4 linked regions of the Astyanax mexicanus genome follow. The protein of the gene in region 4 interacts with the protein of the main gene of each other region in a pairwise test. Links are inferred from orthologs where the notes say so. Each region holds a gene or a part of one and is shown on either strand. Other genes may lie near its edges.

The links.
Region 1: the proteins of mtmr9 (region 4) and emilin1b interact in binary tests that used the Homo sapiens proteins (3 or more experiments, as listed by UniProt). The link is inferred for Astyanax mexicanus from reciprocal best matches to the Homo sapiens genes MTMR9 and EMILIN1.
Region 2: the proteins of mtmr9 (region 4) and nmi interact in binary tests that used the Homo sapiens proteins (3 or more experiments, as listed by UniProt). The two-hybrid records come from large-scale screens. The link is inferred for Astyanax mexicanus from reciprocal best matches to the Homo sapiens genes MTMR9 and NMI.
Region 3: the proteins of mtmr9 (region 4) and mos interact in binary tests that used the Homo sapiens proteins (3 or more experiments, as listed by UniProt). The link is inferred for Astyanax mexicanus from reciprocal best matches to the Homo sapiens genes MTMR9 and MOS.

Annotation. Positions count from the first base shown.
Region 1 is NC_064421.1:627,222-635,129, forward strand, and holds the start of emilin1b (EMILIN-1b), read right to left. Parts: upstream 3,423-7,908; 5' UTR 3,170-3,422; coding exon 3,036-3,169; intron 3,030-3,035; exon of another isoform or gene 1,202-3,029; intron 1,094-1,201; exon of another isoform or gene 1-1,093. UniProt on the Homo sapiens protein: Involved in elastic and collagen fibers formation. It is required for EFEMP2 deposition into the extracellular matrix, and collagen network assembly and cross-linking via protein-lysine 6-oxidase/LOX activity.
Region 2 is NC_064418.1:15,940,515-15,949,315, reverse strand, and holds the start of nmi (N-myc-interactor), read left to right. Parts: upstream 1-5,516; 5' UTR 5,517-5,588; coding exon of another isoform or gene 5,589-5,787; 5' UTR 5,788-5,827; intron 5,828-5,973; 5' UTR 5,974-6,137; coding exon 6,138-6,170; intron 6,171-8,710; coding exon 8,711-8,758; intron 8,759-8,801. Other genes in the region: protein mono-ADP-ribosyltransferase PARP14-like, read right to left, coding at 1-101, 782-806, 2,334-2,521, 5,589-5,787. UniProt on the Homo sapiens protein: Acts as a signaling pathway regulator involved in innate immune system response.
Region 3 is NC_064425.1:6,570,309-6,577,559, reverse strand, and holds mos (proto-oncogene serine/threonine-protein kinase mos), read right to left. Parts: upstream 2,471-7,251; 5' UTR 2,408-2,470; coding exon 1,364-2,407; 3' UTR 1,211-1,363; downstream 1-1,210. Other genes in the region: transcription factor RelB, read left to right, coding at 4,916-4,964, 6,019-6,030.
Region 4 is NC_064408.1:71,153,997-71,162,050, reverse strand, and holds the start of mtmr9 (myotubularin-related protein 9), read left to right. Parts: upstream 1-4,654; 5' UTR 4,655-4,762; intron 4,763-6,051; 5' UTR 6,052-6,052; coding exon 6,053-6,234; intron 6,235-6,694; coding exon 6,695-6,803; intron 6,804-7,280; coding exon 7,281-7,406; intron 7,407-7,535; coding exon 7,536-7,709; intron 7,710-7,797; coding exon 7,798-8,015; intron 8,016-8,054. UniProt on the Homo sapiens protein: Acts as an adapter for myotubularin-related phosphatases. Increases lipid phosphatase MTMR6 catalytic activity, specifically towards phosphatidylinositol 3,5-bisphosphate and MTMR6 binding affinity for phosphorylated phosphatidylinositols.

The sequences.
Region 1 (7,908 bases), on a different chromosome or scaffold from region 4:
ACAAAAATAAGTTTTATTTATGAATCATCAATTAGTAATTGAGTTCTACTCTACTTAAGTACAACTTCTGCACCCATGTATATAGATACAGCTCTGTAAAAAAAAAATAAGAGACCACTTAAAAATGATGTTTCTCTGATTTTACCAAATTAAAAACCTCTGGAATATAATCAAGAGGAAGATGGATGATCACAAACCATCAAACCACCAAACTGAACTGCTTGAATTTTTGCACCAGGAGTAAAGCAGCATAAAGTTATCCAAAAGCAGTGTGTAAGACTGGTGGAGGAGAACATGATGACAAGATGCATGAAAAAGCTGTGATTAAAAAACAGGATTATTCCACCAAATATTGATTATTTCTAAACTCTTAAAACTTTATGAATATGAACTTGTTTTCTTTGCATTATTTGAGGTCTGAAAGCTCTGCATCTTTTTAGTTATTTCAGACATTTCTCATTTTCTGTAAATAAATGCTCTAAATGAGAATATTTTTATTTGTAATTTGGGAGAAATGTTGTCTGTAGTTTATAGAATAAAACAACAATGTTCATTTTACTCAAACATAAACCTATAAATAGCAAAATCAGAGAAACTGATTCAGAAACTGAAGTGCTCTTTTATATACTGGGTTAAATTACTCAGATAATATTCATAATGGTGAGTTGTAGTTATTAATATTGATTATAATAGCAGTTCCTTTTTCCTGTATCTAAAACACCAGAGCTATTTCCAGCATTAATGCTGGCGTTTACTACACAGTGGGCGTGTACTTTACTCCAGAGAGAGGTGATCAGATTCATAAAAGAGCTATAAATCAGTGTCTCACATCTAACAGTGATGTATTTAGTGCTGTATGTGCTGTCAGGTCGAGTTTTCTCTCAGTGTGAGGTAAAGCAGAGCGTCCACATACAGCCACAATACAGATTATATAAAGTTTATATACAGTTTATATACAGTTTTATAAAATGGTACAAACAGTGTGAGTACTCATGATTCTGATCCGATAAAGTGGGTCTGCGGTGCAAACAGAACATATATCAGAGAATGTTAGAGGAACACTCTGGACCTTAAACAGAACCTCAAGCAGAACCTCAAACAGAACCCTAAATAGACCATCAAACAGAACCTCAAACAGAAACTGAAACAGAACCTCACATAAGACCTCAAACAGAAACTGAAACAGAACCTTAAATAGAACCTCAAACAGAACCCTAAATAGAACATCAAACAGAACCTCAAACAGAAACTGAAACAGAACCTTAAATAGAACCTCAAACAGAAACTGAAACAGAACCTTAAATAGAACCTCAAACAGAAACTGAAACAGAACCTCACATAAGACCTCAAACAGAACCTTAAATAGAACCTCAAACAGAACCACAAACAATCTCAAACAGAACCTCAAACAGAAACTGAAACAGAACCTTAAATAGAACCTCAAACAGAACCTCAAACAGAAACTGAAACAGAACCTCAAACAGAACCTTAAATAGAACCTCAAACAGAATCTGAAACAGAACCTCACATAAGACCTCAAACAGAACCTCACATAAGACCTCAAACGGAACCTTTAAGCAGAACCTCAAACAGAAACTGAAACAGGACCTTAAACAGATTCTTAGACTGGACCTCAAAAATAATCCACCAGAACCATGAAAAAGGCCTCAAACAGAACCTCAAACACATCTTCAAACAGAACTCAGAAAACCTCAAATAGAACCTCAAACTGGAAATCAAGCAGAACCACAAACACAACCTTACATCAAACCTCAAACAGAACCTCAAACAAACATTTACACTGGGCCTTAAACTGAACTCAAACCAGACCTCAAACGTGGCATTTAACAGGACCTCAAAACCTTATACTGGACCTTAACAGAATCCCAAGCCTCAGAACCTCAAATATAATCCATCAGAACCATGAACGGGGCCACAGGACCACAATCAGAACCTCAAAAAGAACCTCATAAAGTCTGATAAAGTAGTTCTGGTGTAAAAACTAGAACATACCTCACTCTACATCACACTGGATCTCAAACAGAACCACAAACAGAACCATAAACAACCTCAAATCAAACCTCAAACCGAACCCAATCAGACCTCAAACAAAACATCAAACTAACTCTCAAACAGAACCACAAACTGGACACCATGCAGAAACTCAAAAAGAGGATTACACTGGGCTTTAAGCAGAATCTCAAACCTCAGAACCTCAAATATAATCCACCAGAACCATGAACAGGGCTGCGTTTAGAACCTAAGACAGAACCTCATAATCTGATAAAGTAGTTCTGGTGTGTGAACCAGAACATACCTCACTGCTTCACACTGGACCTCAAACAGAACCTCAACAAACAGAATCTTGAACAGGACCTGATACAAAGACTTTAAACAGAACCTCAAAAAAGACCTTAAACTGAACTCAAACTAGACCACAAACTGAACCTAGTCAGGGCCTCAAACACCAGCCTAAACAGAACCTCAAACTGGACCTAATAAGAGCCTCAAAAAGAATCTGAAACTGAAACATTGCCTTAAACAGGACCTTAGACAAAACTGAACCACAAAAAACAGAACTTAAATTGAACCTCAAACACAACTTCAAACAGAACATTGAGCAGAACCACAAACACAACCTTAAATCAAACTGCAAAAGAACCTCAAATTAACTCTCAAACAGAACCCCAAACTGGACCTTAAACTGAATCTCATACAGAATCTCATTCAGGGCCTTAAAAAATCCCTCAAAATTAACCTAAGACTGGACCTTAACAGAATCTCAAACTTCAGAACCTTAAATATAATCCATCAGAACCTCAAACAGAACCTCATAAAGTCTGATAAAGTAGTTCTGATGTGTGAATCAGAACATAACTCACTCTGCACCACACTGGACCTCAAACTGAACCACAAACAGAACCACAAACAGAACCACAAACAGAACCTCACACATCTCAGTAAGTGAGTAAATGAGCTCCAGCCCGTACAGCAGAGCTCCCACCCAGAAGTTCTGAGCTGTAAAATGATCTTACCTGTGTCTGCTGGCCGCCCGGGGCGCCGTGCCAACCTGTGTGTGTGCCAGCCCATTGCGCTGGTTGTGCCACGCACTCCTGGCACTGCCACACAGCCCCAGCAGCACCAGAACCAGAACCAGCAGCAGGTCCATCCCTCACTTCAGACACAGAACACAGACTGGAGTTCCTCTGGAGCTGCTCAAGTGTTCCTCTCTGAGCTCCTCATGCCAGCTTTCATCACACACACACCTCCCCGGGCACACACACACACCTCCCCGGGCACACACACACTCCTGCAGGGCGGGTACGACCCTCTACAGCCCGGCTGCCATTCCCCCGGGCTCTCTCAGGGCTCTGGAAGATCAGCTACATCCAGTCCGGGCGCTCAGATCCAGGGCTCTGCTGAGTTTGGGAGGTCCCTCTGAGCTCCAGAGCAGCCTGTGTGCAGGCTCCACCCACTCCCCCGCCTCCTACACTAGCCCCTCCCACATTTACTCCCCGCCCTCTACTCCCAAAATGAGTAATCTCAGAGAAAACCCTCACACACACTCTTACACACACACACACACACACTTTTGGATCAGTACCACAGCTCACTCCCGGGCCTGTTTTCAGTAAAAGTGAATCAGGCCACGTGTCTCTAAACCGGTAAACTCCAAAAATCTGCTTAAAATCTGCTTAAAACAGCTTTTAAAACAGTGAAAAACAGCTAATTCTGTTGAACATCAATAAAAAAACAAGAATCAGTCAGCATTATGCAATTAAAATTAAAATTAATCTGAAATTTTCTATAAATATATATATATACATATATATATATATGTATATATATATATAACACTCAAAATATTGTCAAAATAAAAAAAGGTTAACTTTCATTTCATTGCAGACAGTATGAACCCAACGTATTTCATGTTTCAACATTATTATATTATTAAAAATATTATTATCTGTAAGCAAACTGTTGATTTGATTTAGGGCGTGTCAGTGTGTCTTTGCTATCGTAACGACGGGAAAAGTAAGTACACCTTGCACAGCTCTAAATGCAAAGCAAAGTCATGTAATAATTCTCTTAATTAATCATGGGTGTGTTTAATTAATTTTGGGCGTAATATGAAATAAATAAACCAATTAGAGTGTCATCTGTTTGCTCATCATTCTCTTTAAGAGTAGATCAGGTGAGCTCTGTCTTTGGTGGATTGCTATTGTAACGGTGCAGCTACCTGGACGTGTTCAACAAACTCTTCTCAGCAGAGGAAACTGAGCTGCTGGTTGACGCTGTGAAGGAGCTCCAGCAGCTCATTTACGGGAACAGCAATGTTATTTTATTTACTATTCTGTTTATTGTTGATGTAAAAGTTGGGTTTGTGCTGCTGTGTGTTCATGTGTGTGTAATAAGTGGGGGTGTACGCTCGGCTCGGCACGGCGCCTGTGTTACCGAGATAGCGATGATCGTCTGACTGTTGGCGTCTGTCTAGGTTGTATTCAGTCAGTGGAGCTCCTGTGTTTTCTGTTACCAAGATAAACAAGATAAAACTCCAGAAATGTACCTGAACACACCTCATTTCCAGAACACCACGCCCATCAGTGTAGATATATTCAGAAGCTCTGCTGCTGTTTAAACCAGGCAGGAGGAAGGATAGGGCTTAATAAATATGAAATATCTTGATTTAATGCTGTCTGAAATCAAATAAAAGCCTTGTACTTTATTGTAACACTGTAGCAGCTTTTCTTTCAGGTGTATCTGTAAACTGTAAAAGCTGCTTTGTTGATAGCGGAATCCTCTGTGATGCTAAATAAAAACAGTTGTATATATAGATGCTGCAGCTACAGGAGGATTTTCCTGGTATCTGAGGAAGCCGTTATGAATTCCTCGGCTGAAATAGCCTGCAGTGGTGGGTGGGGTGTTGGGGGTGGTATACGGGGTATTTCAGTAATGTGGCTCACCACAGGTGACCACAGGCACAGTGTCCTATATCACCTGTCCTCAGGTGACCCCTGTGACCTCGGGACATCCTACTTTAACACTAAAACAACACCCCCACCACCACCATCTCCACCCCCCCTCGGCTCAGTCATGCAGTTTATAACCTGCTGACTGATATCAATATGAATTCTGTGTAGATTTATAGATTATAGATTATTGATTTTCATACACTTAATATTTAATAATCAATAACACACAGAACATAATATGTAACATGCATAAGACATCAGTGTTCACTGTAACCCTGTTTTATAATTGAATGAATGCTAATGAATAACTGTACAGGTCTAGCGCCTCTGCTGGCTGGTTGCAGTATGATGTGTATGTAGCTCCGCCCATCCCCGCATGTTTCAATAACACAACCCAAAGCCACACCCATTTTCCATCTCATTTCTTTAAAAAAACTCTACTTTAAAAACTGTAATTTTCCATCTGGAGTGTCCAACAATTCCCCCAGAATCATCAGTTTATAACCCTTACTGTAAAATAGCATAAAAAGGAGGCGGTGAATTTATACACACAAATGTACAAATCCAGAAATTGTCTTTTTAAGTCAGATTTGTAAAAATTACTCTTTAGATCAGGTTGTACTCTGATGCTGTGGGGTGATTTTCATACAAGAAACCTGTCAAACATCACGCAGCTGAAAGAATTCTGCATGGAGGAGTAGGAAAACCTTTCTCCCAGTTGATTTTAGGTAAAGGCGAAAATATATGGTCAGTAAGAATCATCTTAATTTAGCCTTAGATTTCTAAGAGCAAATGCACCTATGGGTAAATTAGATTTATAATATCACTCAGAGATAAAATTAATACAATTAAAACAAACAAAAAACAAAACAGCAATAAGCTCAACACCAAATTTAAGTTTACAAACTAAACAGTACGCTGCTGTATTATCTGACAAACAAATATTTATATATACATGTTCAAACACAAAATAATGCATCCTATCTAACCCCAAGTCTATAGTTTTCCCCATGCATACAGTAGCATCTACGCTAGATAAAAACAAGTATTGGGCGTATCTGAGAACATCTTTAGTCCTTTAGAGCATTAAATAATGCAATTGGTTCATTCTGCTGTTAAATCAGTAAACTAACTTGCATATCAAATTTGGAAGATGTTTTAAGAGAAATTAAGGTCTTTCTTTCTTTTAAATAAAGAAAAGATTTTTTAAGACTTTTTAAGGGTCTGCAGATGCCCAGATAGCTCTAATCTGCGTGTAAGCAAATGTTTAGCACATTAACTTTTTTTTAAGTAGTTTACTGAGCGCCTAATATATCAATTTGATCGTTTGTTTGTTTGGAAAACAGTGGGTTTTTAATGTTTACTGAACTGGACTGAAGGCAGATCTGGCCGGTGTTGGCTGAGCTGGACTGATCTGATCTCGCTGTGTGGTGGTAAAACAGCGCCGCTATTAAAAGGAAGCACGTGTTGCTTTAATGAGCGAAATTCTGCTGCCTGGACCCTTTTATTTTCCCCCAAATTATGCAGGAGCTCAATCAGAAACAAATGCACCCTCTCTCAGAGACACAGCAAACAGTGCAGCAGAGGAATACTGAATAAATACTACAAATCATTCTAATGATAATATATCTTATTCTAGCGTATAAAAGCGTTTATTAAGGGTGTTTATAGACAATTATCTCCTTTTATATTGTATATACAGTGTTGTGCAAAAGTATTTGCGCCTTCCTACAGATTTCTTGTGGTGTTTTTGCTTTTTTATCATAATTTTTTTTCCGATTAACAAACACATTTTAATTACAGACAAATATAACCTGAGTTAATATAATTTAAATGAGAAATGCAGTTCTTTAAATGTTGTTCTGGCTTCTTTTGGGATCTCCTGGATGAGTTCTTCATGCCCTTTTGGAGTAATTTTGTTCGGTCGGCCGGTCACTCCTGGGAAGGTTCACCAGTGTTCACCATGTTTTCTCCATTAGTGAATAATAGTGAATCACTGTGGTTATCTGCTTTTATTGTTCTTTGATTTTATTGTTGTCAGACAGCTTCTATTTAAGTGATTTCTTGATTCTACAGGTCTGGAATCAGTAATGAGGCCTGGTTGTGGTTAGTAGTGAAATTGAAATCAGCTTCACAAAAAACTTGTGATTAATAGCAGTTAATTTATGGGGGGCAAAACACTTTTTCACACAGGGCTAAATTGGTTTGGATAGGTTTTTTTTTCACTTAATAAATGAAATGATAATTTAAATAGTGCTTTATATATTTACTTAGGTTATATTTGTATGATATAAAAGTTGTTTTGTTTTCTAGTGTATAGGAGTGTTTATCGAGGGTGTTTATAGGCTAATATCTCCTATTCTAGTGTATAGAAGTGATTATTGAGGGTGTTTATAGACTAATATCTCCTATTCTAGTGTATAGAAGTGATTATTGAGGGTGTTTATAGACTAATATCTCCTATTCTAGTGTATAGAAGTGATTATTGAGGGTGTTTATAGACTAATATCTCCTATTCTAGTGTATAGAAGTGATTATTGAGGGTGTTTATAGACTAATATCTCCTATTCTAGTGTATAGAAGTGATTATTGAGGGTGTTTATAGACTAATATCTCCTATTCTAGTGTATAGAAGTGATTATTGAGAGTGTCTATAAACTAATATCTCCTATTCTAGTGTATAGGAGTGATTACTGAGGGTGTCTATAAACTAATATCTCCTATTCTAGTGTATAGGAGTGTTTATTGAGGGTGTTTATAGACTAATATCTCCTATTCTAGTGTATAGGAGTGATTACTGAGGGTGTCTATAAACTAATATCTCCTATTCTAGTGTATAGGAGTGATTACTGAGGGTGTCTATAAACTAATATCTCCTATTCTAGTGTATAGGAGTGTTTATTGAGGGTGTTTATAGACTAATATCTCCTATTCT
Region 2 (8,801 bases), on a different chromosome or scaffold from region 4:
TTTTTCTGTGAACTGCTCAAAATATATTTCCAGAGTATCTTTATCATTCATGTCAGTGGTGCTGACCAGCAAGTCCTGCTTACTGGAGCTTTCTTCCGCTTCTGGAATAGAAAAAAAACCTGTATAACTCAAATTCAGCTTAAGGGCATTTTTATATTTGAGACAAATAATACAGTAAGTGTATAGCAAATGTGCTACTGTGAAATTATAAATGTGCATCATCATAAGTGGGCATTTATTTTTTAAATATTATTTATATTTTATAATTGAGCTCATACAACAAATGACCATATATCATATTTTTATTTTTATTCTGAAACTTTTTTTACATTAAGAGTCTAAAATGTTCTGTATTTATATATACATTTTCTTTATTTCATTTCTATTCATTAAGGCACAGAAAATAAGATAACTTAAAACAGTAAATGAAAACTGAATATAATAACTTTATACATTGCAGAATTTATTTTTGTATGAAACAGAATAAAAAAAGGTAAAAAAAACAGAACATAGGGTTTAGAGTACAGCATACTATAAGTATATAATATAAATCACTATAAAATGTACAGATTTATACCAGTCTAAACGGTAAAACTGCATATAAACCAAACATGAACAGTATAACATTTGTAGTCTAAATAATATATTTTTAAACAAATTCTAAACTGAATAAATTGTATATAAAATATTATATTAAGTATATAAAGTATACATTTATTTGCATTACAAATACAACAGTAATACATTGAGAGTACGCTGAGCATAATAAGCATAATAATACCTTCAGGAATTTCAGAGACAGACTCCTTTACAGCAAATCCATGTAAAAGACAAAGAGATTAAACAAATTGATCAGGAATATACTCTATACAGTACTGTGCTAAACATCTAGGGTTTCATTATATTTGTTTAAAGCTGCTTCAGGGTTTCTTAGCAATAAATGTGTTTTTGCCAGAAAAATACTACGGATGCAATGAATATAAAAATTATTTGGCCAAAAAACAAACAAAAAAAAAAACATGTAGCACAATAAAACTTGTATATATGTTTTTTAAGAAAGCATACAGCTCACTTCAACCTTATCAGCAGTTTCAGTCAAAGAAAAATTTTAAATCTGAAAATCTACAGAGATTTCCTCTAGCGGGCTTACCTTAGCCCTAGCCTAGAGTAGCACTGCTGAGATAAATTCAAAATGGAATATGAGAATAGCATTTATGCGGTAAATTTATGATCAGAAAAGCACAAATGGCATAAATTCATAATAAGAATAGAACTGCTGAGGTAAACTCATGATCAGAATAGCACAAACAAAGTCAATTCATAACAAGAATACCTCTACTGAGGTGAATTCATGATCAGAATAGCACAAATAAAGTAAATTCATAACAAGAATACCTCTACTGAGGTGAATTTATGATCAGAATAGCACAAATAAGATAAACTCATAATAAGAATATAACTACTGAGGGAAATTCATAATCAGAATAGCACTAATTAGATAAATTCATAATAAAAATAGCACTGCTGAGGTAAATTCATAGTCAAAATAGCACTAATGAAGTAAATTCATAATAACAATAGTAATGCTGAGGTAGATTCATAATCAGAATAGCACTAATGAAGTAAATTCATAATAAAAATAGCACTGCTAGGGTACATTTGTGAACAGAATAGATAAGTATGCTGAGATATATAAAACAAAACGTTAAAATGTTTTGTTTTATAATAGTTTTTTTCTTTACAATACAACTAAAAGTATATTTAGGCATCTTTTATTCATTCAATGGTGAATTATTGAAACATTATTTAAAACTGTAAAAAAAAACATCCCCTTTATTGGTCAATTGTTTGATATTGTTGAATTACTGTTTTGGACAAAAAAAAACATATCAACTCATCCCTAGCCTTTAGTTACTGATATGTTGTGTGAAAAAACACACATTTTGTTCTTAATTGTGTTACAGGTTTAACTATAAAAATAATAGACATTGTTTTTTGGCTTTTCTTGTTCTTTCTAAAATGCAAAAACAAGAATGTGAAACATTCAAACACATAAATCTATTGCTGTGTTGTTTATGAAGGTCTGATCTGAATGGAAGGCTTATCATATATTTAATCTGAGTCATGGTTTTATACTTCCTTATTAACGTCATGATCAGCATTGCTTAAATGCTTTCATTTTCAGATTCCCCATTGTCTTGTCGTTTCTAATAAATCAGGAAAATAAAGTTTATTTGATTAATGAAACGTCAGGTTGGACTTCCCCTAGAAAAACGAGCTCCTCCGGCAGGTGTAACAGTGTTTTGCAACAAAGATAAAAACAGAGAAGTCACCTGGACGTCAGCGGCTTGTGCTGATTTGCTGAGTTCAAGTTTTTCCAGTTTGGGTTTGGGTAAAATAGGAGGTTTCATTTTTTTTAAGGCTGAGCTCTCGTCCTCCAGACGTTTCACCGTCACGTCAACAAGTCCCCGTCCTTTAAAAGCCACTTGGTGAACTCTCTTCTCCAGTACTTTATTTAATTCTGAGGATTAGACAATGATAATGCATTATTTGACACGGTTCAGACTTACAATTTATAAATACGACACAATAAAATTATTAACTAACACTGATCCACCATAACATTAGTACCACTGACAGTTGAAGTAAAAAACATTTCTCCCAAATTCCAAATATAATTATTGTCATTTAGAGCATTTATTTGCAGAAAATGAGAAATGGCTGAAATAAAAAAAAAAACATGCAGAGTTTTCAGACCTCAAATAATGCAAAGAAATTAGGGTTTATATTCATAAAGTTCAGAAATCAATATTTGGTGTAATCACAGTTTTTATGCATCTTGGCATGTGCTCCTCCACCAGTCTTACACACTGCTTTTGGATAACTTTATGCCGCTCCTGGTGCAAAAATTCAAGCAGTTCAGCTTGGATTGATGGCTTGTGATCATCCATCTTCCTCTTGATTATATTGCAGAGGTTTTCAATTTGGTAAAATCAAAGAAAAATCTGAATTTTAAGTGGTCACTTATTTTTTCCAGAGCTGTATATGGACATGTGCATTAAACGCTGAAATGCAGTCATACATTTTACACTTACCATTTATCTCCAAAAGTGCCCAAACACAACAGATTCCATATTTACTCACTAAATATCAGTATTTTCCACATTAAAGGACATTTATATTGAATGTTTAGCGTGTTTTTTATTTTAAAGCAATTGACTCCTAATTGTTGACTAACTGACTAACTTAAAAAAATCATCATATTTGTCTACCAAAATAATCATTATTTGCAGCCCTAAATAATAATAATAATAATAATTTTAGTTGACCTCAATATTATCTGTAATGTTTTTGTGAGCAGGAAAGCCCATTAATATGAATGAGCTGATATTTGGCTTTTTTACATTTTATTTATTTATGATATTTCTTAAATTACATTCCTATCCCAATGAAATTTAAGAGATATCCAATATTCCAATTCCAATATTCTTAGCTGTTAAAAGTTCCATCTTCTTTAAAATGATGTAATTGTATTGTTATACAATTATACAATACCTAAAATATTGGCATAAAAATGGTTGTTAAAAGATTATTAGTATTAATAGCTATTGTGATAAGACTAACATATGATAGTGTAAGCAACTGAGTCAGGACATCAAAATATTAGGCAGGTCACGTGGGGTGTTCCTGGTATGCAGTGATGACTGAACAAGTAACGCCTCATACATTACAACTTAAAGAACATAAAGGATCTGCTGCTAATGTTAGTCTTAGTGCCAGATACCACAGGCCTCCTCTTTTAGTTTTTTTTTTTTGGAGTTTAAATGGTTTTTGCCTTAAATGGTCAGATCTGTTGTTGTAGATCAAGGGGAACCTACTCAGTATTAGGCAGCTGGTAATAATATTATGGCTGACTGGTATGTACAAATTACACAAGAAAAGTCTCTGGGTGCCACCATGTTGAAAATAATTTTAAACTAACAATTTTTAAATCATTTTATGAATGAAAGGTTAGAATAGGGGAACATATTGCAGAATTAATTCTGTGTAAATGCATGAAATTGAGCTGTTGCTAAAAAAAACAGATCTATAATAGTCATGCATTTAAATGAATAACTACCTGAAGGTACTGTGTGTATAAACAGTGTTTTTAATAAACTACCTGCTCACTTTCGAAGTTCTCCGTGCCTCATTTTAAAATCGGGGCCTTCAGTGTGGAGCCACTTTGAGCTAGTTATTGTTGTAAAAATAGCAATTTCTTTGCTGTATTTTGGAATGCTGGAGAAAAACAGTGCTGGGCTATTTGACAAAAGTTTATACTCATTATCATGTTTCACTACACCTCAAGTCCATTTCAAACTGTATTTCTCCTTTAAGATACACAGCAAATTTGGCAGTGGTAAATCAACACTTTAAGGGGGGTCAGTTCTCCAGACAGGGATTAAGCCTAGTCTCTGACTACACACTATTTCACTGAAGATTTTCCATTGAAAGGAAAACATAATATACGAATAGACTAAATTTCACAGTCTGGAATACTGCCCTTAGTGTTAAACTATTGTCTAACAATGTTCATTTAACCCTTTTAGACCTGAATTATGTTCTCGGGATGGAAAAATATAGGAAGACTGTTTTGTGTCTGTAAAGCACACAAAAAACTATTATCGACACTAGTATCCTAATATAAAATCCATATAAAATAAATCCAACTAACCCAGATTTTTAAACATGATACAAAGTGTTCTAAGTCTCTTGTACTACTTTGCCTCATTGGTTCTATAGTGCTGACATGCCCTAATGTCCAAGTTGCTGTTTTTTATTTTTTTCAGTGCAGTGGGTGGGGCTAAGCTACTGTTTCACTGGCTGGTTTATGATCTTTTCTGATGGACAGGTGAACAGGTCTCAATTAATGTTCTGTTCTGTTCTAAAAAAAAAAAAATACATTTGGAAAGAGAAACTACATGATGTCCATTGTAACTGATGCAGGGTCTGAAAGGGTTCAATCTAGCAGTCGCATTGTTGATTTAACACTGACAAGTTTTGATTACACACTAAAAAAACTAGATAAAAAAGTTACACATTTCATAATTGTACCCTCAAAGGTATAATATTGGTCTTTACAGGATCAGATGTGTTCCGTCTGAAGTACAAAGTCTTTTCTAACAGCAGGAAGTAGAGATTTTTACCAGTTAACCAGCTTAAAAGTACATTCTGTATTCTGAATCACTGTACCAATAAATAATATATATTTTAATTATACATTTTTATCATCAAGTCCTTGACACATGTTCAATTGATGATAATGTTTATAATTTTTATAATCTTTACTGGTAACGTTACAAAAACATGTTTACAAAAAAGTCTTTCAGTTAAAGATACTCTGTTGTACCTCAATATAAGGTACTGCCCCAGCAACAAGTACATTTTTTTCTTAGTAGGTATGTCAAATCAAATCAAAATATTTCTAAATAATTTGGAGTATTACCCTAGTCAAGAAAAGAGGGTACACCTCCAACGACTCCAAAATTAGTTTAGTCCCATTTACTCTTCTCTGAGAGAAAATAGTAGTTTTGGCTTTATGAACGTACCTCCTTCATCCATGTAGATAAGTCGAGCTTTCCTCTGATCTTCTGGATGCTCCTGGATCTCCAGGATCTCTCCTCCAGACCGTCTCTTGTTCTTGAAGTACAGTTCTAGTTTGGACTTCACACGGTGAAAATCATCTGGAAGACCCTCCAGCTCCAGTGTTTTCTCATCCTGACTCTGTTTTCTTTTGGCGGTCTCCATCTCGACGTTTAGAATCTCAGATAAACTCACAGAAATCTCAGTAAGAACTTTAAAAATAACTAAAGTAAAGTTGAAGACAGTCTCCTGAACTGTCCATTTCAGACAGCTGTCGGAGGAGCTCGCTGAAGCCCGTCCGAACTGTACTGTACTGTACTTTACTTTACTTTACTTTCACTTTTACTTCAGGACACTCGCCTGCTTTTCCAGGAAGAGAGACACAACCCGAACACAACCACAAACAGCGGGGAGCTACGCCAGATAAATCCCATTTTTACTCGTTATTCGCGCATTTATTTGCGTTTCTTGTGATTTTAAAGGGGAGACCAGACCTCGGCAGAAATCTGTTAGAGATGACGGATACAGGGGAGCAAGTGAACGGCGAGGTAAGCGTGTTTTGCTCGTCTCGGGATTCGCCCCATTTAAAAAAAAAAAAAAAAAAAGAAAAGCTACGAGCAATAGTCGTTAATCATATACCAGTTTATTAAAACGTGTAGCAATTGATTTATTTTTATCATACGCTCAATGCGATTTTAGATACGATTAGATACTGTCGCGCTTTGTAACGTCTTTATAGCCTGTGTTCTGTCGAGTTGTGCTACCCTGTCAAATCGTGCTACCTTAGTGTATATTTAAACGTAAAAATACACAAATAGGCACTGTTTAAGAAATATGCTTCCAAAGGTATGCTTCCATAAGCTTTATCTAACTCACTGTATGAAAAAAAAAAAAAGTTACGGCAATGAGACCTGATTAGATTTTTAATCATAAGATTTTAATCATAAGATTAATCATAAGATTTTTAATAATAAGATTTTTGTATAGCTTATTATTGGTATTTTTTATTCATTTTTGCTATTTATACTTGTCTATCACTTAAACAAAGAATAACAGTGAGTTGACGTTAAAAGAAAAATCATAAATCATAAAAAACCGTGGAAACATTACAAAAAATGTGAGTCCGCGCAGGCGCACTGGAGAAAAGAAGCATATATCGATGGGAAGCACAACTCGACAGGACACCCCCCGGTTAGAAATGTCGGCGAGAGAAGACCGAGTGAGCTACGTGAGAGTAGCTACGTGAAATACTGTATCCAGTTTCTTAAAACGTGTAGCATTTTTTATTATGCGCTCAATGCGATTTTTGATACTCTCGCGCTCCATAACGTCTTTAGAACGTATAGCTCGTTTCACATCAAAAAAGGGTCAAATTCTTAACTCTCAGGTGTGGGTTTTCCCAGTATATTATTTAGATTTTCCGGTCCACCTTAAAAAGTCGAAATACCAATAATGCGCCAGTAGAGAGCGGGATTGGGCCAAGACAAATTTGGCATTTAAGAAATATACAGCTCTAGAAAAATTGATTGATTGATTTTAGCAAATTGAAAGCCTCTGGAATATAATCAAACCATCAAACCAAGCTGAACTACTTAATATTTTGCACCAGAAGTGGCACAAAGTTATCCAAAAGCAGTGTGTAAGACTGGTTGAGGAGAACATGCCAAGCTGCATTAAAACTGTGATTAAAAACCAGGGTTATTCCACCAAATACTGATTTCTGAAGTGATTAATTATAAAAATGAACTTGTTTTCTTTGCATTATTTGAGGTCTAAAGCTCTGAATCTTTTTTGTTATTTCAGCCATTTCTATTTTTTTTTTTTGCAAATAAATGCTCTAAATGACAATATTTTTATTTGGAATTTGGAAGAAATGTTGTCCGTAGTTAATAGAATAAAACAACAATGTACATTTTAATCAAAACATATACCTATAAATTGCGAAACTGAGGCTGAAGTGGTCTTTTAATTTTTTTCAATACATTCAGAGAATAAATGGCCTGTTCTGCGGATTTCCAGTTGCCCTAATTCCAAATGACTAAATAATCTGATAAAGGTAACACCAAATTATAATAATATAACTATTACACTGTAAATATCCTAAAGGACAATGAATATTATTGAACAATATTTTTTATTATTATTATGACCCTCTGAACTTTAGCATTAGATGCCAAAGTTGTCTTGCTTGGCCCAATCCCGCTCTCTACTGGCACAACATTGTTATTTCTACTTTTTAAGGTGGACTTCAAAATCCGAATAAGAAGCTAACTTCAGTCTCCTGGTTTTACAAAAGCTGCTGAGCAAATACCTAAGTCTTAGATGGATGAGCGAGCATTACACTGAAGACTCCATGTTTATAGGATTTACTTAATGCTAAGATACTTCTGGAAACCTGGGTCCAGTTCAGTAAAAGTCAGTGTGCAATTTTGGAACACTTCTGTTGGTCAGTGGTCAAGATGTTGATTGACAATCTGAGAAATATGGAGATTTTTAAACTTCATGAGTTTTGACTGACTTTTAGTTGTTCTCCTTCTTTTTTCAGAATAATAGATAATGGCTATAGTGGTTTTAACAATATTTTTTATCTATTTTGTAGAACTAATAACATCAAGTTATATCAAGTTTGTCTTATTTTATAGAAATAATAAATTGAACTTGTTTTCTTATCATTTTTGACATTCTTTTTGGAAATAATTGTTTACCTAAATATTAACATTCTTTTGTCGATTTACTTTATATAAAAATGACTATTTATTAATCCTTGTGAAATAAAAAAAAACTTTTCTGTATATTTAAATAATTTTCTCATGATTTAAAGTCTTATTTATAATACTTTTCTATTTTCACTGAAAATGAGGCACCTGTGGTTTTGTATATATTATCTGAATAATTTCTGAATCAAAGACAAAAGTAAGCAGCATTTGGTTGTAAGAGGTTAATAAGTATACATGTATCAGCTTAAGGTGCATCTATGTGTTATATCAACATTATATATTAAGTTGGAATTGACTGTGGATTTTTAAGGATGTTTTTAATTTTAATTATATCTTTTTAACACAGTGTTTTTGATGTTTCTATCATATAGCAGTTGCAGCAGATTGCTGACGCTAGGGAAGAGCTGGAGAAATGGAAGGTAATGGAAGCTAACAACACTTGGCCTGTATTCTGTAAGCTGA
Region 3 (7,251 bases), on a different chromosome or scaffold from region 4:
AAGAGTTGGAATAAAAGTCCAACATCACACCAAAAAGTAAGACTATACCCTTACATAATTTGACAATATGGGGGTGAAGATAAGTGTTTTTATTGCATATATGAATTAATTAAACACAATACACCACTACCAGGCATTTTCCCAGCCATTTGAGTTATAAGATGAAAGATTTAGGGATAAGTTAAAAGTGTTTATTTATTGACTATCTGAATAAATTGAGAGACAATACAACACTCCCAGTCATTTCAATATCATTCTAATATCATGAAATATAAAAGTTGCAAAAAATGTGCATAATGACAACAAAAGGTAAGACTATAGCTTTACATAATTTGACAATTTTAGAAAATTCAAGTGTTTTTTGTGCCAATCTGAATGAAGTTACCCACAACACACCACACCCAGTCATTTTCCATCTCATTTGAGTTATAATCTTATGAAATATAAGAGTTGAAATAAAATATCCAAAATCACACCAAAAGGTACGATTATAGCCTTATGTAATTTATCAATTTTAGGGAATAATTAAATCTGAATAAATCTATACACAAAATCTATACACCATTCCTACACATTTCTCCAGTCATTTGAATTATAATATAAAACATTAAGAATTGTTTTCTTTTGGTTGATTTATTTGTGTAGGAATTTGTTTTCATTTCTTGTTTTTGGTTTAGTTTTGTTGTTTTTTTTCTTTCATTATTTATATATTTTGCTGGGTGCCTTTGGTTAATAATGGTCATTGTAAATGTCCTGAGCTCAGGTGCTCCAGTCTGAGACCATTTTTACATCCTGTATACACTTAGAAAAAAGGGTTCTATATAGTACCAAAAAAGGGTTATTTGAGTGTTAATGGTTCTATGAAGAACTATTACCTTCACCAAAGAACTTTTGAAGAACCCTTATATATATATATATATATATATATATATATTTATTTATTTATTTATTTATTTATTTTTTAACATTTAAATAACCAAAAAGTGGTTTGTTACTTAAGGGCAACCTACACCATGCCATGGAGGGTATAGATTTCTTAAATGTACATGATTCCTTGTTTTTCTTCATATTCAGGATTACTTCAGTATTATATTTACAATGTAGGGCATAAAAATCATAGAATTAACATAGAATAAGAAGGTGCATCCACATTTTGACTGTTAGATTATATGTATGAATTTCGCATATAACAACAACGCAGGACTCAATCTTAGAGTAATAAAAATAACATTAAAGTTTAATTATAATCTTTGGAAACATATAAAACTGCACATGTATTTACAAACCATATTTAAACATTTCTTCACAGTATTTACAGAGTTAACAGTAAGCAGGAGAGATAATACAGCAGAAGAATGAAAGACTAAAACACTAGAAGGGAGATCTGCTGCAGGTCCGAGTGCAGCTGCTCGGCGCTCGGTCTCAGGTTCGGCTCCGCGCTCCAGCAGCAGCTCACCAGCTCTGCGCACGCGCGCCCCGCGGAGCTCCGGTGGAACACGTCCCGGTCCAGCTGCGGCCGCAGACCGTACGCTACCACGGCGTAGATGACGCACTGCCGCTCGCCACGGTACGGCACATCGCGCGTGAGCAGCTGCCACAGAGTGACCCCAAACGAGTAGACGTCGGCGCGCGCAGTCACACGCTCGCCGCGGAGCAGCTCGGGCGCGCGGTGCGTGTACGTGCCGCCGATCTCAAGGGCGCACGCCGCGTGGTCTCGCCCGAGCTGCAGCGAGCAGCCGAAGTCCGCGAGCTTGCACACGCCCGCGCGCGACACCAAAACGTTGGCGGGTTTTAGGTCCAGGTGCGCCACGCCGTGCGCATGCAGGTGACGGAGCGCGCACACCACGTCGGATGCGTAGCGCACGCACAGCTCGGGGGGCAGCGGCCCCGCCCCGTAGATCACCTGCTGCAGGCTGACGTCTCCCGCGAACTCCATCACGATGGTGCCCACGCGCCCCTGATCATCTTCCTCTTGGTTCTTGTCCCCAGTGCGCGCACAAGCCGTCGCAGTCTTAATTGTAGTCGTCGGCATCATCGTCGTGGCCGCAATCACGCGCACCAGGTTGTCGTGGCGCAGGTGCGCCGCGTTCAGCTCGGCCCAGAAGCTCTGGCGCGAGGCCAGCGTGTTCCTCGCCCGCCGCACGCGCTTTACCGCCACCGTCTCTCCAAAGTACGTGCCTTTGAACACCATGCCGAAGCCCCCGCAGCCAATGGGCTCCAGCTCGTGCAGCTCGCGCCACTGCACCGCCGACGACCAGAGTCTCTGAGCGAGCTTTCCGTGGGTAGCGGTGGGCACACGCAGGGAGGATGATGCACCCGCGCGCCTGCTTAGCGGGCTGCTGAGGGTTCCGAGGTCGAGGCCGAAGCCTCGTGGCAGCAAACGGGTAACGGGGATGGGAGAAGGCATGGCGGGAGAGCAGCAGCGCCTTCTAACATTTTGGATTTGCCTCCTATATGTCACGTGCGTGCTTTTGTAGATGTCACGTGACCGCTAGGGTCAAACTGGGTCAAACTCTGTTTGTTTATTATTATTAAACTAACCTTCAAGTGTCAGTGTAACGTTTATTAATTTAATTTTCTGACAATTGGAGGCTAAATGTAAATTTACAAAAAATGGATGTAAAATCTCCATTATTTATTTTTTTTAAATGTAGTGCAGTGTACAAGAAATAAGTGTTTTCCTTTCCATTTATTTCCAGTCCATTTTTGTTTTTAATCTAAACAATGTGCCATATCACCCGTCTCAAATTGAACACATAGATATTAATCAACATGTATTTTTTTAATTTAAAAAAGAGAAACTTTGATCCTATAATCACCCCTGGTTTGCTTGATTCCAATTCCTTGCTGTAAGGGCATGCTCCATGCCCTTTATAGCATCTTGCCAGAAACAGAAAGTTTATTTGATTTTCTATTAACTATTAATTGATTAACTATTATTATTATTTTTTTATTATTATTAAACAACAAGCCTATGACTTTTATTTTGTAATACAGCCAAGCATTTAGGAAATACAACCTGAGATTGTTTACAAAGATTATCCACCAGAGGGCAGAAAACACGTAGAGATATTATGCTCTGTTTTACTGTTTTTCAGTTATTATTTATTGTAATTAAATGATATTGTTATAATTAATATATTATTTAATGGTTATTTAAGATAATTATGTTTTTTTTTACTATCACGCTGCTGTGACGATAATTTTGATGTCATAAACGTCAAAATTATCATTCAGAATCGCACACTGAAAGTCTCATCCCACCTTAAACATCAACTGTTTGTTTGACCTACTACTCTGTCCATCACACATCATTAAAACACAACCAAAAACCCACACAGACTGTTTTAGTGCTGTCTGCATTCACACACTATAACTTTGAGCTTTATATATTATTATATAATATATTAAAATACCAAGAGTGTGCAGATCTGTCCTCAAAGATAAATGTGCTACTTAGAAGAATCTAAAGTATAAAACATATGTTTTGTTAATTACATTTTGTTTAGTATATTTGTTAAACAATAAGTCTGCATATGTTCCTGTATAGATTTAATGTCTTTATATATATATATATATATATATATATATATATATATATATATATATATATATATATATATATATATAAAGACATTAAATCTATACAGGAACATATGCAGACTTATTGTTTGTATGTATGTATATATATATATACATACATACAGACTTATTGTTGTATGTATGTATATATATATATATATATATATATATATATATATATATATATATATATATATATATATATACATACATACATACACGCAACCGGACAAAAGTTTTTGAATGCCTCTATTGTCTAGTTTTCCAGACAAGATCCTTTGTACTGCATACAAAGGCGTTAAGGTAAAAAAAAAAATCCATTGCTACTTAACAGCATATTCTTTTCTGGACTTTTTTGGATTCATACCTATTAGTTTTTAGAAATGAAAAATCTGGCTTTAATTTACGTTTAATTCAATACAAACCCTTAAATCTATACCTAAAAATATTTTAGTTTCTTTGATTTTATCAAATTGAAAAACCTCTAAAACATATAATCAAGAGGAAGATGGATGATCACAAGCCATCAAACCAATCTGAACTGCTTGAATTTTTGCACCAGGAATGGCTAAATTTACCCAAAAGCAGTGTGTAAGACTGGTGGAGGACGTGCCAAGATGCATGAAAACTGTGATTAAAAAGCAGGGTTATTCGACTAAATATTGAAATATTGAATATTTCTCATTTTCTGCAAATAAACGCTCTAAAGTGGTTTATAAAATAAAACAACAAAGTTAATTTTACTCAAACATAAACCTATAAATAGCAAAATCAGACAAACTGATTCAGAAACTGAAGTGCTCTCTTAATTTTATCCAGAGCTGTGTTAAGGGCCCGCCCATATATATATATATCCCTTACAGTCCCTGATAATATCATTTAATCTTTAAAAAGTGTGACCCCACAAACAGTTCATTAGAAGGTGCTTTCCTCACGAAACTCTTATTTGTCTACCATGTTTCAGCGCAGCCATTTAGGGGCATGTTTCCATCTCTCGTTTTCTTGTTTTGATCCTCGGGCCCTTCGTGCTGCAGCTCACCTGTTACCGCGCGCTCTTACTGCGCCGACTCGCGGGGGGGTTTCCCAGCAGTGACGTAGGGGGATTTCCACCCGGTCAGCTCGGGCTAGAAGAGGCACAAAGTGAAACGAATTTGGTAGAAAACGTGAGTTATTTTGATACACGGGCAGAAGCAGAAGTACAGCAGCGCTGCAGAGACTCAGAGCCGCAGTCACCGACCTTTAGTACAGCTCCAATGAGTACATAACCCAGCTAACCGGACCTCAGCCCAGTACCAGACTAACCCTGTTTTACCAGCCTAGTCCTTCACCTGCCATGAGAAATATGAACGGACCAGCTCGCAACGGTACCCTAGGCACTGGCGGTAAGTGACAGCGAGCTAAAACATCTATAAACGTGTCGATAAAAGTCTGTAAAAGGTCTGTAAACGCTTGTTTACTCTGTGCGCGCGCTAAGGCTAGCTGTGCGCATGTAGGTTGGGAAAGACACGTTTTGTAAGAAGTAAAGTTAGCCATGGAGGTTTTATGTCATATTTTTTTCCTAAATTATACAAACCATAATAATATAGTTGTACGTTTTTGGTAGATTTTATGTAGAAAAAATATGTATTTATAAATGTATCTATTTGTGAATTTAAGCATTTTCATAAATATATCAATTCATTTACAGCACTATCCGGCTGTCTACAGTGTGTTTATTGGTATTAAAAAGCGTAAATTAATAATAATAATAATAATAATAATAATAATAATAAACGATGAATGTTAGTATTTATGTCGTTTTGACATAGGCGTGAAATCCAAGTCCAAAGATTAGCTATAAATCCATTCCAGGATTTTGTTCCAACCGCCTAAGAAAGCGTGGCTCCTGGGCGCTGCAGCGCAGCTTTCTTTGGCAGTTAAGACAAAATCCTGGAATGGATTTCTAGCTAATCTCTGGACCTGGATTCTGGGGCGGATTTTACTTTTCTGGTCCCGGATTCACTACTATTAGTTTTAAAAGTGAAAAATCTGGCTTTAAAAAACAAACCCTTAAATAATCAGATATAAATTAGTCTCTAATTAGGTGTATAATGTTTATTTTTATTGTTATTATTATTATAATGTGCTTATTATTAGCTAGAATAGGTAACCGAGCTAACTATGCCTAGTCATGGTGCTCCGTCTTTTCTCTATACTAGTTCCTACTATTGACGTTACACAGCATTGCGTGATCTAGAAGAGGCAAATCAGCTCAATTCAATCAATTCACATGCTGTATATGCTTTATTCTACCTCATCTGGGACTGGTGCGGTTTATTGTGTAGGAATAGAATGGTGTTGTTGTCTGTTAGCCCGCAGGGCTGTTAAGACTTTCAGTTTCACTTTCCTTGTCTGTTAGTCTGTGGATTTAACTGGTGCTGTTTTTCTCCTCCACAGCTCTCGACCTTGGTAAGTGGACCATTTTTATCATATCATTTTACATTTAATATTATACAGTATACCAGCCTCTATTATTTTGAATGTATTAATAAACGAAATTGAATAATAATAATAATAATAATAATAATAACAACTTCTCACACAACTCTTTCTGTACCTGCACTTTACTCTATTCATCTAGTTCATCTATTGGACCATTTCCTCACTTCCACACACGCACTATAGATATCTGCATTTTTCAGTCATATTTTTTAGTCATATTTAACATATTTCCGTGCAGTACCATATGTCTGTATGTCTATAGTCTGTAAGTTATTGTGTGTATTGTGTATATTATGTATACTGTAAAGTTAACTATATATTTCTATTTTAACTTATTATTGTACTTTGTTGTAAACATTGTTCTCTACATACTAGTGGGAACCTGCACCCAAGTCTTTCACTCACATGTACACCTGTACTTTGTGATGTGTAAAAAATACAATTTATTGAATCTTGAACCTAATAATAATAATAATAATAAAAATAACAAGAATGTAAGGCCTAGGCTAGTTAAATAAGAGCAAATTCTTATTTGTAAAAAAAAAACATTTGTGTAATAGAGGCAGATCAGTTCACATGAGTAAACAAATTAATACATTTAAAACAATAAAGCGCATTATATTAAATCGGTAAAGTGCATAGTGGCATACACTCTCAGAAGCTCACATTAATTCAGACTTCCCACAATAAACATAAAAGAGCAAATTAAAATAAATAATTATATAAAAAAATACCATCTCGACACACTATACAACATTCAGGAACTCCGCCCACATTGCTTTTAACCCCCACCATATCTACTAACATAACCCACACATCAAGCCCACAAAACTTACTTCATCATAAACACTCAACACAAAATATATACAATTACCATGACATGTATTTTAACATTTATTTTCTCTTTAATACCATAAAATGAATTAAACTAGAAATCACACTAACACATTCATTTTATAAAGTGATTTTTCCTTACATTTTAATTGAATACTAAAGTGTATTAAATTCCAGACTATGAAGGAACACATACGAAATCATGTAGTAACTTAAAAGTGTTGAACAAAAATACTAGGTGGTCTTTTATCCGGGGTGCTGTTAATCTGCGGTTTCCGATGATGAACTTATCATTGTGACTGCACTTGAGAGTACTTTCTTTCTTTCTTGACATTTTTCAAATTGACTGACCTT
Region 4 (8,054 bases):
ACCCAAACAAAAAAGAGCTCATTTTTTATTTATTGTTGTAATTGTGTCACAATTTTATATATATACTGTACAAAACTATGTGTAATTATATAACTGGCAGCAGTTTCACCATCATATGTTGTTATTTTACAGTGCATCTACAGCAATGTTCTCTATGTGTTTAATTAGTACTATACTGTTCGGATTTCCTTGTAAAACTACAATACATAATTTTTTAGTAATTAACAGATTTACAGCCCATAGATCATAAACAGCATAGACTGTTTCTAAACACAAATAATCCAATCAGCTTATTTATATATATGAATATCTATCTATCTATCTGTCTGTCCGTCCGTCCGTCCGTCCGTCCTTCTATATACACCTTCATGTATGTTTGTGTATATATGTTTATATATCTGTGAAAAACATTGCTAAACATAAGCCGTGATCACAATAATTTATCAGCACTGTTTAAAGATAAGGTTACCATGTATCCCCTAAGCTCTGATTACAAAACAACACATGCTTTGGTTCCCAACACCACAGCTAAAGCATTCCAGTGTTGTCAGTTCCCACTGTCCGCTCTACTTTCACAGCATCATAAATCCTCAACACCTGTGCCCCCAGCAGGGAGGCATTTACCAGGATTAAGACACTGTTACATTAAGACAAATTCCATCTCTTTGGCTGCCAATAGCCTTGGACTATTCTATGATGCTAAATAATTACTGTCCTAAAGTGATATCTTAAGCTTATTTACGGCATATTAATTTTTATTAAATGTATTAAAAGATCCTGCAGACTTACGAGAGAATGGGAAATGTGATTCAATAAATATTTGAGCCCTTCCAACAAATACTATAACTACATGTTAACCATTTCTTTCTTACAAGAGAAATCAGTTATTTTATTAACTACTCCATAATATTTCCTTAAAAGAGCCTAATGAAGCAAGTTTTTTATGTGAAAAATAAGAATTCTTCCAAAAAATGAGAAATGCTCACAACAGTCTGATCCTGTGTAAAGAATGCATACTGTGAGAGGGCTTTATCTCCACTGAGAATGAAGGCGAGCGAGGAAGGTGGAGGAAGATGAGCTCAAAGAGGGGTGTGTGGGAAGAAGAACAAGGAGGATGATGAAGGTGGGAGATGAGAAAGGAGGATGAAGGTTATGTGATGCATGCAAAGAACAAAAGGTTGGTGTGGGACATGATGAGAAATTCATGACTATTGCATCTCAAAAACTTAGGAGAGGGTGACGCAATGATGGAGGCTACTGTAGAACAGACTGTACTGTAAACACATTGGACATTTTTAGCCTCGGCAGCCTAATAGATTGTAAGTCGCTTTGGACAAAAGCATCTGCCAAATGTAATGTAATGTAAGGTAATAAAAAATAACATTTCTAAACTTCTCTTCTTGCCCAATTCATGCCCTCATATGTCTCTTTATGTTCTCCCTTCTTGTTGTTTGTGTACAGAAAACTGTGGCCATGAAGGATACATCAGCTGCATCCTCAAAATCACTAAATGCTGGCTGCGTTTCACAGCTGTATATGAAATCCTTTACTTGGAATAGCTGCAGCCTAGCTTTGGAACAGTTTTTTTTTACTTCTGTGTGAAACGATGAGGCTGAACTCCTGCAGACTGATAAGTAAGTGGATAAGTGTTAATGTATGGAGTTTTGTGTCATTACAAAAAGTGTAAATGTCAAATAGGTTGTTTTTCTCTTTGCAGTTTAATATCCCTTTGGACACTGTATGGACTTAATCACTTTATCAGTGTTTTGCATTGTACATTAAAGCAATGAAACTTTTTTTTTTATCATATGGGTCTTATAAAGGAGCAACGACTGGAAAATGCTTTGGGTAACACTACTTTTTTATATTTGTCCAATATATTATTAACCCTTTATCCATGTTTATTTTAAGCTTGATGTGTGCTGGGAAATGAAAGCTGTGTGCAGAGGTCTGTAAGCTGCCTTCTGCTGCACTGCAGCCAGTTCGCTGAGGAGTGCATTACACGACAGCAGCTTTAGTGAAGCTGGTCAGCCCACTCTGTCAGTGTCAGCTGGAGGCCCTTTTTGTGTTTCAGAGCAAAGGAAATCTCATAGAGATGTTTGATGAGAAGCATTAACCCGGAATAACCGGCATTTCTGGGCCACTGTTGGAGAGTAGAGCCTATCAAAGCGGCTCCAAACGTGGCGAAGCAGCATGTGTGAGATGCAGTGTGTCGCGGCATTGCAGCGAGGCGGATGGCTCATCAAAGCACACTTGCAGTGCTTCATGGCCTTTAAGCTTTTAACAAGCCACCCCTGTCATGCCACAGTAACAACACAAAGACAAGATTATTACAGCACCACATAAAAGTGGTCGCTGCAGACACTTCCAGACTTCCATATAGAGGACTGATATGCCATAAACCTGAGCTGATAGGCTAATGCATGATCTCGTCCTCTCAACGCTCATCTCCACAGACAGACACCTTTGTTTGGTTACAGCCGCTAAAATATCAGCTCTTAGTCAGGAGAATCTGTTTCCCCGCACAAACCCCATACATTTTTAATGAGAGCAAATGGAGCCACGCATTTAGGAGTAGTGTGGGATTCATGGCGCACATGTAACTCAAGATAAATAATGCAGTCTCTACGATTGCAGCCATTTCCCTAGAGGCCCCACATACTCTCATCACCCCACTCAACAGGAGGCCTTTCTACTTTGCAGTATATCTTTCAACAATTACACTCTATAAAAAATAATGAAATAAATGGTTTCATGGCATGGGCATATGGTTCCTGGAAAAGGGCTTTAATTGGTGTAGAATATTTTTACACTATATGGAGATTTTCTAGACCACATTTAAGCATGTTTTAGAGATAAAAATGCTCTACCAACAAAACTCTAATTAGCAAACTTAACAAAAAAAAAACAAGAAGACTGGGAAGTTCCACTTTATTTCAATATCCAGTCATTTCAGTCAGAAAGAAGCTGACCAAGACTTTACATGTTCTGTTCGTTTTTCCAAAGTTGTGCAAATACCAGCTAATTACTGTAACATCCAACAGCTTGAAATCTCTAAAAGTATATTTGACATCTTACTCCCGCCTCTCAAGTGAGTCTTAGGATTCTCCCACAAATTGATTGTGGTTCCCTGGCACCTAACATACACAATCCCAGAAATTGGTACACTGTATATGAACCACTTGCACAGTTTTTGGGAGTGATGGAATGAGCAAATGAGTGAGAGAGGTTACAGAGAGCAACCTGATTGGTCTGATTGGTTTCTTGCTCAGTAGATCTACTCTGGAGTAGCTGAACCATGAAACAGAGAATCGTTCCAGAACAAATCATCCAATCATCCAATTGTAGCTTAAAAATAAATAAATCAGTAAAGGGTCTAATGTTCTTTTGTAGTAAACGATCTCAAATCAAAAAAGTTGAGTTAGAACAGCTAATTAAAATAAAAAAAAATCTGCTTTCCAAACTCGAATAATGCAAAGAGAACAAGTTAATTTTCATTTTAATCAACAATACTAATAGTTTAACCCAATAAGCATTCAGAAATCAATATTTGGTTAAATGATCATGTTTTTTTGATGCTCTCCACCAGTCTTTCCCACTGCTTTTGGGTAACTTTATGCCACTCCTGGCTCAAATATTTAAGCTTTAGCATTGTTTGATGGCTTCTGACCATACATCTTTCCTTTGAAAATTGGTCCAATTTTCAGCTTTGCCCAATACCTGGTCCTCTATTGGTTAGACAAAGTCCTGGAGAGGCGTACAAGCCAGACTGTCCTTGCGTCCACTGTGAAATTTGGTTGAGGATCTGTGATGATCTGTGCGTTGTTCAGCAAGGCTGGAATCAAGTCACATTCAAGGTTCTCCTGCATCCAACAGGACAATGCACCATGCCACACAGCTAGGTCAATTAAGGTGTGGATTAAGGACCAACAGATCAAGACCCTGCCATGTCTAGTCCAATCTCCAGATCTGAACCCCACTGAAAACCTCTGGAATGTAATAAAGAGGAAGCTGAATGGTTAAAAGACATCAAACAAAGCTGAACTGCTTGGATTTTCGCTTCAGAAGAGGCATAAGGTCACCAAAAGCAGTGTGAAAGACTGGTGGAGAGCATGCTAAGACATATAATAGCTGTGATTAAAAATAAGGAATATTCTACCAAATATTGATTTCTGAATTCTTCTTAAAATAAAATGTTAGTATTGTTGTTTCTAAATGAATATGAACTTGTTTTTTTTTGCATTATTTGAGGTTTGAAAGCACTTCACCTTTTTTGTTATTTTGACAAATTTTATGCAAATAAATGCTCAAAATGACAATATTTTTATTTACAATTTAAGAAAAATGTTGTCCATAGTTAATAGAATAAAACAACAATGTTCATTTTACTCAAACATATACCTATAAAGAGTAAAATCAGAGAAACTGATCATTTTAAAGTTTTAAAAACATATTTTGTTGTGGGTTGAGACTGAGCTGTTGTAACCTGTCTTACACATTTAACCTATATCGTACATCTCAAACACACACACACACACACACACACACACGCAAGAAGAACAGGCACGAAGCGTGCCTAGAACAGGGAGTACTGATCTGAATCAGGACGCTGTGTTCACTGAGTTGTGAGTCAGGTGTTCACCGGTTCATCCGGGTCTGTAGGCGGCGGTACTGTCACGAGTCTGCTCGTCGGCCGCCCGCTGTGTGAAGAGCCGAGAGAGAGCAAAACATCAGAGAGAGGGAGAGAGAGGAGCTGCAGCAGGTAAACTACAGTCATTTACTACCGGAGTTTAACTACAGTCTTTACTACAGGAGGGTGACAGCTCGAGCCCCTGAGAGAGCAGTGTTCTCTGGAGTGGGCGCCGGGTTTAGAGTCGCTCCAGACTCGCGTTTATACTGGATACACCAGACCCTGAATCCCAGTTCAACAACAGCTAACCTAACCTAGCCACCACAGCTACCAGCTCCGGAGAGGGGCAGCGAGCTCTGTTAGCGTAGATAAATCAGTGAATTCTCTAACATAGATCTCACTAAACGTTCCACTAAACCTCGCTTCAGTCCAGTTTAAAGCGGCTCTGCTTCATAAACCAGTGAAGGAGGTTCGTTCGTCTGGACTTCGGCTCTAGGGGGTGTTGTAGGGGTGCAGGCCAGGTTAAAGGATTGAGGGTATAAACATCAGATTTCTCATTAAAAACAGGCCACAACAGAATATGTATATATGTGTGTGTGTATTTATAATAATTAGGGCCGTCAACGTTAAAACGTTAAAGCGTTAAAGCGTCAACGCAGGTGATTAATTTGAACCAGTTTTGCGCCATAATCTGTCCCACCCAACGCGTGGATTTTATTTCTGAAGCGGTTGTGGTGATAATGTGATGTCTCTATCTGACCCAGCTATCAAATATAATTATTTTTATTGTGCTAACTGCCCACATTTGGGGTAATATCACGAGACGAGACGAGACACGACACTGGGTTCACAAGAACGAGACGAGACGAGAAAAAAAAATGAAAGAAAACGTAAAAAATGAAAAAGTTTTATTTGACAAAATCATATAACACACACTTAACAGACTGGTTTCTCTCCCATTTTGATTCTATAATTAATAGAAATAAGAATAAAGAAAAAATAAATATAAAAAATAAAAATAAAACTTTTCTAGGTCTTATATAGTGCAAACAATAAGTGCAAACCACAACCAGTCATATTAAGCCTATGGTTTGTGTTTTTTTTCTCCTAAATCTCTTGTAATTTAACTATGCAGTGTTTTTTTAGGCAGTGTTTTTATTATTATTTATTTTAAAATTACTTTACATTTTTCAATATTTGGACATATTGATTGGAATACAAAAATATTAAAATAATCCAAAATAATTTATATATATTTAATTTTATTTAAAGAAATCTCAAAGATACTGAAATGAATACTCAGACAGTTCCACTGCTTCAAAGCTCCACTCCCCAATTTATTATTTTCCAGTTCTTCACTTCTTAACATATAACTTTCACTTGCTTCATGTCTCATCCCAAGTCTTCTTGTTTCTGTCCAGGATGGAGTTCGCCGAGCTGATAAAGACCCCCCGAGTGGACAGTGTTGTTCTTCACCGTCCTTTTCTGCCAACAGTGGAGGGAACTTTGTGTCTCACTGGCCACCACCTCATCCTCTCCTCTCGACAGGACAATACAGAGGAGCTCTGGCTGCTTCATTCCAACATTGATGCCATCGATAAGAGGTTTCCTGTGACATTAGTTTTCTTTTTTTTAGGGCAGTAACTGATTGCGTTTACTCATACTCAGTATGGGAAATTTGGGGGAAAAATGAATTTGTTGCACAAGGGAACATGATTTATTACTGGCTGCAGATGCAGTCCATCAGCCAATACATATTTGCATGTATTTTGTTTATGAAAGGGAATGCTAGGTTAATGTGGCTTACTACTACTGGGCTTGAACTGTCATCACAATAAACCCCTTTGCCTTCAAACATAGCCAATCCCTACCTAGTCCTACAGTATTCAGCAGTGGCACATCTTTGCCTTTATATTGTGAAGAGTTAGTTGGCAGAATGTGATATAAAAATGGTGTTGTAAATTAATAAATGATTTAATCCTAGACATATGTGCCTAACGCTGTTAAAATTAGAGATGGTCAAGAAAGAAAGAATACATTGCATGTAAAAATCCTCTGTTTTAGGTTTGTTGGCTCTCTAGGCACAATTATTGTGAAATGCAAGGACCTGCGAATTATTCAGCTGGACATCCCTGGCATGGAAGAGTGCCTTAACATTGCCAGCTCCATTGAGGTGGGTTTAAATATTTACTTAGAATAACTGTAGTCAGACTTGTCATTATTAATCACTGAGACAGTTTAATCATTGATTTGGTCTGAGACCCTGACCTTCTTTTGGTGTGTGCCTGTAGAGTTTATGCTTACACAAGTTGAACAGGCTGGTGTTTTTATCACGGGGTGTCATAAAAAAAAAAAAAAACTACATGGCCATAAAACAGAAATATATTTCCTTATGTTTACATTGAAAGTCAGTGTATCAGTGTATGTGAACAAATTACAGACCTGACAGCTTTTTGATAGGGTATATAATTTTCTTATAAAATTTATTTTTCAGGTGGTCACTGAATTAATCATTAAGTAACTGGTACAAAATACAATGATTACTAATGTACATATTAGATACAATTTTAGCAAATACATTGTGAAAAATATTGTTGTTTGATAAAAGGATTGGTATTACTGGTCTTACATCCAGTCTCCCCTTCTTTAGGCATTGTCCACGCTTGACTCTCTCTCCCTGATGTACCCTTTCTTCTACCGCCCTATGTTTGAGGTCATTGAGGATGGTTGGAACTTGTTCTCACCAGCGGAGGCCTTTAAAGACCTGGAATCAATGGTAGAGTTTTATTGTTTGTGAGGACAGTATGGATATGCTTTACTATTCAAAACTTGTTAATCTCTGTTTGAAAAAAGCAACACAGAATAATAAGCCTAAATGTACTTTTTCCCTGTTTCCTGCTGACAGACAGATGAGTGGAGACTTAGTGAAATTAATAAAGACTTTGCCGTTTGTCCCTCCTACCCATCACTGGTGACTGTGCCCAAGGACATAGATGATGACACTCTTTGCAAAGCTGCTGCATTTCGCCATGGAGGACGCTTCCCTGTGCTCAGCTACTACCACAAAAAGAACGGCATGGTCAGTTAGGAACTTTAACCATTGGTTGTTTTGTTTAAGGTCGAATCAAAAACGAATGGATGTAAAATATCTCCTTCCTTGTTTTTAGGTGATGATGCGAGCAGGGCAGCCGCTTACAGGAACCAACGGCCGCCGCTGTAAAGAGGATGAGAAACTAATCAACGCTACACTCCGTCCAGGAAAGCGTGGGTACATCATCGACACCCGCACCATTGCAGTAGCACAGCAGGCTAAAGCTCGTGGAGGCGGGTTTGAACAGGAGGCCAATTATCCACAGTGGAGGAGAATCCACAAAGCTATTGAGAGGTGAGGGAACGCTGTTTACGAGAAGGATAGTAAGTATAT